Linked DNA regions of Drosophila melanogaster. The protein of the gene in region 3 interacts with the protein of the main gene of each other region in a pairwise test. Each region holds a gene or a part of one and is shown on either strand. Other genes may lie near its edges.

Region 1 (3,356 bases), on a different chromosome or scaffold from region 3:
GCTGCGAATCGGAGGAGCAGGTCCAGGATATGGGCCAGCTGTACCAGATCTTTCCGGACGAGGTGCTCGGTTCCGGGCAGTTTGGTGTGGTCTACGGCGGCGTGCACAAGAAGACGCAACGCGAGGTGGCCATCAAGGTGATCGACAAATTGCGCTTTCCCACCAAACAGGAGGCGCAGCTGAAGAACGAGGTGGCCATCCTGCAGAACATCTCGCATTGCGGCGTCGTCAATCTGGAGCGAATGTTCGAGACTCCGGAGCGGATCTTTGTGGTGATGGAAAAGCTCAAGGGCGACATGCTGGAGATGATCCTGTCGCATGCGAGGGGCCGCCTGAGTGAACGGGTGACCAAGTTCCTGATCACCCAGATCCTGATTGCCCTCAAGTACCTGCATTCGCAAAACATAGTCCACTGCGATCTGAAGCCGGAGAACGTGCTGCTCTCCTCGGACGCCGAGTTTCCGCAGGTGAAGCTCTGCGACTTTGGCTACGCCCGGATCATCGGCGAGAAGTCCTTCCGGCGCTCGGTGGTTGGCACTCCGGCCTATCTGGCACCGGAGGTGCTCCGTAACAAGGGCTACAATCGATCTCTAGACATGTGGAGCGTGGGCGTCATCATATACGTGAGCCTGAGCGGCACATTCCCGTTCAACGAGGAGGAGGACATCAACGACCAGATCCAGAACGCGGCCTTCATGTATCCACCAAATCCCTGGAAGGAGATCTCCTCCAATGGTGAGTGTAGGGGCTAAGCACGAAATTCAAGTCCAGGCTCATCAATGAATCCCTTTTGGTTTTCCCCAGCCATCGACCTGATCAACAACCTGCTGCAGGTGAAGCAGCGCAAGCGGTACACGGTGGACAAGAGTCTGCTGCACTACTGGCTGCAGGACAAGCAGACGTACCGCGATCTCCGGAACCTGGAGGCCCAGGTGGGTGCCGGCCGGTATCTGACCCACGAGGCGGATGATCTGCGCTGGGACTGCGCGGGCGACATGTGACCTGGCTGTGAGCCCGAGGCGATTCTCGAGAGCACCACCGAGTTAATCAGCTGCAGCGCCAACACCACCACCGAAAGCTATCGTCGATCTCCGGCGGACTGCGCCGGATGCCATCGGCTGTCGGATTGCGGGAACTCACCCAAATCGGAGGCCATGAGCGACAGGGCGCTGAAATGGATGCGGTTCCACCTCTGCCGGCACATCAAATAGCAGTACAACCTTATTGCCTAGCCCATAAGTTTATCCTATCTCTCTAACTCGCTTCTCGATTGATATCCGCTAAACAAACGAACTCTTCTTACCACTTACCACTTACCACTTACCACTTACAACTTACAACTCTGTGTGCTAAATTTTTCTCTAGAATCAAAATTAGTCGATAGCTTTAATTTGTTAACCACCTAAAGGCAACTCTTATGAATAATACACAAATACTTAATATACTTATGTGAAAATAAAACCCAGACGTAACTGCGAAGCTCAGATCCAGTTTAGTACCAATGGCCATAAGTTACAGGAAGAACCCAAAAACCAAACGAATGGCAGAGAAATATAGCTGAATAAACAACGCTTGACAATTAAGAGACCCACTTCGCGCTTTTACTTACAGTCGCGGGCAAATAAATAGGTAGCATTGTCATATTTGGGGTTAATTTGAAAATATATAATTCATTTTGTTAGCTAATTTAATATTTAATTAATATTTAATATTAATTTATAAAGTATTGCTTAGTATTTTAATTGTAATATTTTCAAATTAGATCATGCTAATTTGTACTATTTTTTGTAGTTCGAAATGACTATATATGTATGTAGATATTTTTCACATATGTAGTAAACAAGTGTATCTTCATATTTTGAATATATTTTTCCACCCATGACTGTTTGTCACCGGTAATGGAAGTGTCTACAACTTAAGGTGCTCCAAAAGATCACTGGCCTGCAACGGTGGACCCCTTTCTCGCCGAAATTTCAATGCTTTCCAACATTTCTTGTTCAGCATTTCAGCAGTAAAGATGCATTTTATTGTGCCTCAGTGCTTCATAATGGCAATTCTTGCCGGGATTAGCCAGCAGGGCGATGACTTCAGCACGCCCAGTGTCGCCTGGTTGGAATATCAGCGGGAGAGATTCGGTATGAGCAGTAATCCTTTCTTGTTTGGGTCCACCAAGGCACCAACAGTCCCAAATGTAGAGGTGGTGACCCCGAAAGTGGAGACTACATCCAGGAAACATTCATCCAGCTCAACCGAAAACGCAAATCCGGAATCGGAGGAGGACGAGGAATCCACGGAGCCACCAAACGAAGATGAGGAAGTTGGGGTGCCCAGCGTTCAAGGATTCTTCAAGTTTCTAAAGGACATGCAGAAAACTTGGATCAAGAAATCGACTCTCACTTTCGGAAAGAAAATAAAGTTGCTTCAAAACCTACGAGATAATCTTATAAAATTGATAGGTTAGTTTTATAGGTTTTAAGATCTTATATGTTGCCTTATTATAATTAATCTTCTGATTTTGTAGAGCAACAGTTCTCGGTTCTTTGGCAGCCACCAGAGCGAAAAAGGAGACGTCGACGTGGAATTTTGGATGACTCGGAAATAGACTTTCCGCCTGAGGCGGCAATCATGAGCATCAACTTTTTGACATTCGCCGTTTTCCTCATTAAGCTCGTTATGGTATGTTGGAATTTATATTGAAATATTTATATGTATAATTAATTTTCTAATATTGCAGCAAGTGGTTAAAATTGTAAAAAGCAAACATGTTACCTTTTCTGGATTTACCTTTTCACCAGAAGCTGCAAGACGTCCATAAAGTATTACCACTGCTTAAGTTTGACACGTAGTTTAGATTTTAAATATATTCTTTTAAAATGAAAAACGAATTTTCGTGAAACAGAAAACTATTTTAGAATTTATAATAAGTAGTCTGCTGCTTAGAACAATGATATATTAATCTTTCTTATGTTTACCAGATCTAGATTTAAATTTTATGAGTTAGTTTAGTCAAAGGTTAGTAAATGTTTTAATATTAAATGCTGTCGAAACCAATTTTCAAAATTTGAACTATCGATTCTTATCGACTATTCGATTTTGGCTGGAATCGGCTTTCATATCACTCAGCTTTCGTCCATCGCATGTCATCTGTTTTGTTTTCCACACGTGCAACATTTGAATTGTTTCTAAAAGCCAGAAAAATTCAAATATAACGCAGTAACAATGGAAGATAAAATTATAATAGAATCCGTATGCGATCATAAAAGAGACGAGAACATACCTACCATACGTAAGTTAACAAGTGCAGCCATCAATTAGGAAGAAAATATACAATCTCACCTTCCATCCATAGTGAAATT
Region 2 (3,332 bases), on a different chromosome or scaffold from region 3:
ATAGCTATGGACCTCCAGAGAAACCTCGCCAGAAGTACCTGCCGCCCAAGGTTTCCCTGCCACCGCCACCACCTCCACCGCCCAAGGCAACTTATCTGCCTCCCTCAAAGCCTGAAGTGAAGTACCTGCCCCCCGAACCGGTGGCCAAGTATCTGCCACCCAAGGTCGCTCCCAGCCTGCCTCCTCCACCACCACCTCCAGTTGTGGCGCCCAAGCCCACATATCTGCCTCCCAGTCCGCCAGAGTCCAAGTACCTTCCTCCTCCGACGCCCGAGGTGAAGTATCTGCCACCTGCTCCAGTGGCAAGGTATCTGCCACCCAAGGTTGCACCCAGTCTGCCACCACCACCTCCACCCCCACCAGTGGCTCCCAAGAAGCTGTATCTTCCTCCTGCCGAGCCGGAGACTAAGTACCTGCCACCTTCCGAGCCCGTCGAGAAGTATCTGCCTCCTAAGCCCGAACAAAAATATCTGCCACCCCAGCCTGAGGTAGATTTCCACATACCGATTCCATCCTATGCACTGCCCTTGGGCCCTGCACCAAGTCCAATCCACGACGCCGAGCCTGGTTACCACTACAAGCCTCCACTTCGCCGTTTCAGGCATTAGGATAATCAACCACCGAAAAAAAACCAAACCACAAGCACTGCATCTAGTTTTAAGCTGTACACATTAAAAGCATTTTTAACAAAAAATAAAATGGAGTATTACACCACTCGCACTCTTTCCCCATCCTCAAGGTCAAAGATATCAAACCCAAATTGCTGTCACCCAGCCCCCAAGGGATCCATGTGGATTTCAATCTGACCTCCAAATCTAATTGCGGCCAATCAACCGAAATAGCCAAACGGCTTCGGTTTTAGCTTTAGTTCAGCTCGATCATCACCTGCAGTGTCGATAATTACTGTCTTTTTGGATGAAAAATGATGTGAGTTTTGGTTTGAATATATTTATAGGGATTGATCGGTGTCGGTTACAGAAAGGTTCAAACCGAACCAAAATCGCTAATCGCCAATTGCAGCCATCGGCAATGGGACGACAGTTGACCTCTTTCAATGTTGCCCAGAGATGGGGCAAGTCTTTTAAAGGTGCCATGAAAAGATTAGACAGAAATAAATAATTAAGCCCCTAACGAATTGAGTATGCTCTTTTGAAAAGGGTTAAAGTTTAAATGTTTAAACATTAGGTTACTTTAATAGCACACTTGATTTGTCTTTCATTTTGTCTTTAAGCATTTTAATTAAAACCTGATAGTGATGTATCAATAATGTTATACATTTCTTAGGTACATGATGACTAATGCATACGAAATAAATAGTCTAACAACTCCAAAAGTACGATAAACTATTTATCCCAATAATTGCCTAACCAAAAACTATTTTAAGTACTTGGCAAACGCAGCGGTGATCGTAAAACCCAACACGTTTATGGCTCCCAGCCATAAAGAGCTCCCTGGTCGGGCCAAAAAAAAACAAAAGCCAACGCAACGAGATGACTTCGAATTAAGAGATTTAATAAAAATTGAATGCCAATTCCCAATACCGGCTGCCAAAGGGGCGAGACCCCTAAACGCCGCTTAGCTGACAACCGGGCCATTTGGATATAGACGGATCGCAGTCAGATCGTCTCTCGCGGCGTCGGCGTTGGCCAGAGGTAATAACGTGACGCGATCGCTTTATAGCGACCACTGATTCAGGTTCAGGTTCTCTAACTGTATAAATAAAGAAGCACTTGCCGGAAACTGTATCACTTCGGTAGAGGCCGTCGTCGCACCAAGAACGTTCCAACAGAAAAATGGTTTGTGTTTACTCTCCAAGGATAATAGCTCAGCGTGTTAAATTGATTTTATTGTATATTTCAGAAAGTCCTTATGCTGGCTGTTTGCAGCTTGGCTCTGGTAGCCGCTGATGTCTCGCATTTGTTCGGTCATGACCACCATGATCACCATGACCATCCTGGCTACAACTATGACCCACCAAGCATCCCCTTTGAACTGCCCACTCCGGCTCCGGCTTATCTGCCTCCAGAACCAGTGACCGTTCGTGAGGCTCCTGTGACCGTGCCTCCTCCAGTTTATTTGCCACCAGCGACCGTGAAACCTGAGATCCCGGTTGTCAGGACCCCCAAGCCCGCCTATCTGCCTCCTCCACCACCAGTGATTAAGGTCAACCCACCCAAGCCCGCCTATCTGCCTCCTCCGCCACCAGTTGTCAAGGTCAATCCACCCAAGCCTGCCTATCTGCCTCCTCCGCCACCAGTTGTGAAGGTCAACCCACCCAAGCCCTCCTACCTGCCTCCTCCACCACCGGTTGTTAAGGTCAACCCACCCAAGCCTGCCTATGTGCCACCTCCACCACCGGCTGTCAAGGTCAACCCACCCAAGCCCGCTTATCTGCCACCTGCACCTGTGGTGGAGCAGCCCCGTTACGTCGCACCAGCTGTAGTGCCCGCCTTCAAGATCCCGATCCCTTCATACGCCGCACCTCTGGAGGAACCCGTAAACACCTATCTGCCACCCCAGGAGATCGTGGAGTCCCATGATGATGGATACCACTACGATGCGCCATCTCAGCCGTTCCTCTTCTAAATAGCCATCATCCTCAGCCATTTTTTATTTGTTGTCTTTGAGTGTGACGTGTATTTACCTGTAGTTATTTATTGTTTACCTAGCTCAGCCTGCACTAAAAACGAAATAAAGCTTAGCACTGCGAAAACGTAGTTTCCCAAGCGTGTTATATGTATATCCTGTTCTGATCTTGAACTTGAGAAGGGAAAATCCTATCGTAAAAGAGGCCATGACCACGAACTCGGCTCAAGTGCCACGATAGACAGCATAATTGCCTCGGGAGTGCTAAAATTATATTTCAGACCGAGGCAGAACAGTTTCATTCATGGACAATCCAGCTGTGGTTATTTTGGGAACTACACTGAGTAATGCTCTATGGCCAATTCCGGCTTGATTTATTGACAACCCAAACAAAATCCAGCTTTGAGTAATTGAACTTAGCAGCCATAATAAGCTGTAGTTTTATGGGTCGAATTGTGGCTGAGCTTCAATAAACGACATTCTTATAATTTATGATACCACCTTAATTGCTCGAGACAATCGCTGGCATTGTTTAAGAGGTGTGATGATACGCCCCCGACCATTGGAAGTATTTTATTTTTTTTTTGTTTTAATCCGCCCACAATGCTGTGAAAGTTTTTATTATTAATTTATTTATTAAGGCATACGGGGAAGTCTTGAATCCCCTTTGTGTCCTTCTTATCTATTAATTCAGCCCATTTGGGCTCGCCGGCTAACTATAGTTAGCTTTTTCAAATTTACAGTAA
Region 3 (4,116 bases):
GCTCTTCGGATTCAGCTTCAAGCCGCCGGTGCGAGCGGACTTTGTCGCCGTCGTGGAACTAATGCAGCAGACCAAACTGCCAATTGCCAGGTGAGATTCGTTACGTTATACTAGCTAATTCTAAGCTAATGTTGCTTCCTCCTTGCAGCGTGGACATTCCCAGCGGCTGGGATGTGGAGAAGGGCAAGCTGACTGAATGCGACGTGGAGCCGGCTCTGCTCATTTCCCTCACTGCGCCGAAACTCTGTGCCCGCCAATTTCGCGGCGAACATCACTACTTGGGCGGCAGATTCGTGCCGCCCGCCCTGCAGCGCAAATACGAACTGAATCTGCCCGTTTATCCGGGCAACGAGCTGTGCGTCAAGCTGTGATTTCTGCATTTATGCGGTTTCCCAATAAACGATGGAGTCTTGAGCCGCAACGTCTGGTTTCCATCCATCATTTGAAATGAATTCTTTGTTGAAACAGCGACTATTTTGATTTCCAGAAGCAGCAAACACAATGTTCAATTAAAAACAGATTTAATTACGTTAAAAAAATGAAACTTAATGCTAGTTCATAACAAAAAAAAAGATTTTCTAGCTTTTAACTTTGTAAATAAATATTGGAATTAGAATCCAAGAAAAACTCCATACCTTACATACAAAAAAAAAAGATTTATTTCGTTTAAAAATAACGCTTGTAACTACTTGAAAAGCTTCTCTGTTTACATTTTACAAAGTTTCAGGTTCTCCCTTGTGTTTTATTTTATATATTATATAAATTTATATAAAGTCTACGATTGGAAAGCTAATGAACAACTAGCCCCTTACTGCCCAGAGTAATCTACTTGTACAAGCGATTGTAGTTCTTGCGCCGGCGATCCTCCTCGAAGTTGTTATTCCTGGCCCACTCCTTGAGGTTGCCCTTGGAGCGCAGCATGGCGGACTTGGAGTCCACGTCGCGCAGCACGAAGGGCGAGAATCCGGCCGTGTAGTCCTGATCCAGAGCGTTCGTCTTGGTCTTGGCAACGCGCGACGGCATCTGCCTGGGCATCGGCTGATCCTCGAACAGGATCGGATTTCTCGAATGCTTGCCGCCCTGGAAGCGAGGCAGGCTCTGATTCTTGTACTTATTGGTCAGCGGACGGCGCGTATTGATGTGAATCACCTGGCGACCGTTCTCGTCCAGACTGACGGCCACACGTTTCAGCGTCTTGTTGCCACAATTGGGGCAAAACACCTTGGTCATGATGCTGGTGGTCTTGTAGCACGCGTAGCAGCGGAGTATATATGTGCGCAACTGCTTGATGATCCGGCCATTGAGGGCGGCCAGGTGGAGATTTAGCTGCTTGAGCACGTTCTGCAGCGCATAATCGGTGGTCATGCAGGCGACGGGCGGCACTTCATCCGTTTCCACTTTGCCCTCGAGCGCTTTCTTGGCCTTCTTGATGTTTGAATGCGTGATCCAGCCATCGTCACCCACATCCTCGTCGAGATTTTGGCTCTGTTTGGCTTCTTGTGGCTCGGATACCTCCTCATCTACTTCGGCCGGCTGGGAAACGAGCAGTTCCGAGAGCTCTTTCTCTTCCTCGGCACTGGGTGCGCATTTGAGCTGCTCGAACAGCTTGTCCAGCTCCTCCTGACTGGGCTCCTGGTCTTGGTCCTCCTCCTTTTCGATGGTCTCGCTGGCAAATGGTTCCTTGCCGGCCAATTGGGCTTCGATGGCGGCTTTAACAGTGTCTGGGGATTCATTTGCCTCCTGCTCATCGCCTTCAGCATCGTCCTCTTCCTGGGAGTAATCATCTTCCTCCTCGGAATCCTCCTCCTCCTCCTCTTCGCCCTCGGGCATGTACCAACCGACCAGTCTCTTGTTATTAGCATCCTGCATCTCCTCGGGTTTATCCTTGGACGCAATGGTCTGCGCCATCACAGGCTCCTGGCGCAGGTGATCAGTGCCCACGTTGTCTGCTTCCAGTTCGTAGGTGAGCGAGATCACTTTCAGATCGATCCCCGAGAGACTCGCGTAGTCACCCGTTTTCTTGGCGAACTCCACGCAGTGTTTAATGCTCTCCGGACGAGGCTCGCGCACCTGGAGGTCGAAGGGCAGAACGCAGAGGCGGCGAATCTGGCGCTTGTTGCGCACTTCGGCCACCACATCCGGCACGGTGAGCACCTGCTCCGCGTATTCCTGTAGGGGATTAGTGGCGGCTTTAGATGGCTCGAATGGGCAAATTGTGCGTGACTTACATTCAGGGGCACGGCGTTTATAAAGGCTGTGGTGTCCGCCACAAGGAACTTGATCTTTTCGCTCGTTTCGGCCATTTTCAGTGCTAATTTTCACATGAAAAACAAAGGACGGCAAAAAATAACAATTTCTGCACGTGTCGCGATTAGTGTGGCTGTAGTGAGCTGTGACCGTTACGTTAGGGTATGCTAAAAATACCAAAAAGTGTTTATGAATTTGTGATTTTAATATTAGTTAATTAAATTTTACATTTTTAAGAGTTAGGCAAAGCTAAATGAATGCGTTCCCTAAAATTTTATTGCTAGCTCTCAATAAAATTGTTAAAATTAATTCATGTTAAAATATATTTCTATGAGATATTATATTATTATCACAGGGAGATATCGGTCCTGACTACTTAGACTTTCGGCCGGACTGTTGGAAAATTACCAAATTTACTTAACAAACTACAAAAAACATCAGTTAAACAAAATATCACTTGACTTAACTTATATTAACATATTTACAGATATGAAAAAATGTAGTAAAATGCCTGGTCTGAGAAATCTATTAATTTGCTGCAGATTTTCAAAAAGCTCATTAGAAGGTCTGCCAGTTTGATCTTCTTGTTTATTTTTTTTTTAACATATTTTCGTATTATCAATACAACTTCTACGAATCAATCACTTAAGCAAGCTATCTTTGCTAATTTTTCAATTTGTAGGCTTGTAAGTGCATTGGATTACATTCAAATTATTTTATTAATTGGCAATGGAATATTCTAGGGTGCTTGCGATATATGGATGCACACTCGCAGCACGGTCACACTGCCCGGCCCATTTAGCTGACAGTTCCATCTCTAGTTTTCAAGCCAAATATGGCGAAGTTTTCATTATCAATTCGTTCAGATAGCAAACTGAATTAGTGAAAGGTGGACGATTTTAAACGGAACGGAGCCAATCCGCCGGATTTTGTGAAAGCCCAACCGAGCGGTACAAGTGTGTTATTCGCTAATAGGCTAATCAATCCAGTGGACACGGTATGTGGGGCCAATGGCAAACCGCCGCCGCAGTGGCTCCCACTGCCGCTCTACCTCCGCAACCGTCGGTTCCGCCACCGTTGCCGGACGCCCCGCCCCCTCCGCCTCCATCGGACGCGACCGCCGGAGCCGGAGCATCAAGCGGTGCCTCTGCACCCATAGTCACGACTGCAGCCGCAGTCACAACGGCCCCTGGATTCAACCCCTATAGCAGCGGCCAGGCGACGGGGGCTGGCAACCCCTATCAACAGTATACGGCCGCCCAGTACGCGGCCATGACACCCGAACAGCAGTACGCACTGCAGCACCACTGGCAACAGTGGCAGACATACCAGGAGGAGTACGCCAAGTGGCATGCCCAGTACGGTGAGCAGGTGGGTCAAATCAATTAGTTATCGACGATCATATTGCTATAGTAGTCTTCCAAATCTTTAGTATAAGCGTGAAATGGCCGCAGCCGCGGCCACAACTACCGCAGTTCAAGGCGTGCCCGCGCCTGTGGTAGCGACTCCTGCAGCAGCACCCGTCCCTGTGGTCGCTCCTCCCGGGCCACAGGCCTATCCTGTCGCACATAACTATTACCAAGGTGTCAGCGCCTCGCCGGCGCAGTCAACTACACCCGTAGCCGTCGCGGGAGCACCGCCACTGCCCGGTAAGATCATGGCCCAGCCGCAGATGTACAACCAGCCGCCGCCGCCACCACAAAAAGGCGGTTACAATCAGCATCCGAATGACATCCAAAGCATGTGGTCAGGACCACCGCCAATGCAACAGCCGCCGCCAAATAGATATGGTGGCGGTCAAATGAACCAGATGAACTACAACATTGCCGGGCAAGACAACCAGGGATTTCCGAATCTCCAGCAGCCGCC

Evidence for each region.
Region 1: the proteins of CG2972 (region 3) and CG7126 interact in a two-hybrid assay, tested with the Drosophila melanogaster proteins (one large-scale study listed by BioGRID).
Region 2: the proteins of CG2972 (region 3) and CG11345 interact in a two-hybrid assay, tested with the Drosophila melanogaster proteins (one large-scale study listed by BioGRID).

What each region holds. Positions count from the first base shown.
Region 1 is NT_033777.3:18,301,511-18,304,866, reverse strand, and holds CG7126 (uncharacterized protein), read left to right. Parts: upstream 1-2,017; coding exon 2,018-2,456; intron 2,457-2,521; coding exon 2,522-2,676; intron 2,677-2,734; coding exon 2,735-2,815; downstream 2,816-3,356. Other genes in the region: PKD (protein kinase D), read left to right, coding at 1-735, 805-1,001; Polr1E (RNA polymerase I subunit E), read left to right, coding at 3,220-3,286, 3,350-3,356.
Region 2 is NT_037436.4:4,456,574-4,459,905, reverse strand, and holds CG11345 (uncharacterized protein), read left to right. Parts: upstream 1-1,742; 5' UTR 1,743-1,793; coding exon 1,794-1,796; intron 1,797-1,860; coding exon 1,861-2,586; 3' UTR 2,587-2,729; downstream 2,730-3,332. Other genes in the region: CG15022 (uncharacterized protein), read left to right, coding at 1-608.
Region 3 is NC_004354.4:10,081,435-10,085,550, reverse strand, and holds CG2972 (uncharacterized protein), read right to left. Parts: upstream 2,398-4,116; 5' UTR 2,304-2,397; coding exon 2,229-2,303; intron 2,170-2,228; coding exon 826-2,169; 3' UTR 501-825; downstream 1-500. Other genes in the region: Naxe (NAD(P)HX epimerase), read left to right, coding at 1-90, 149-371; ZAP3, read left to right, coding at 3,247-3,618, 3,680-4,116.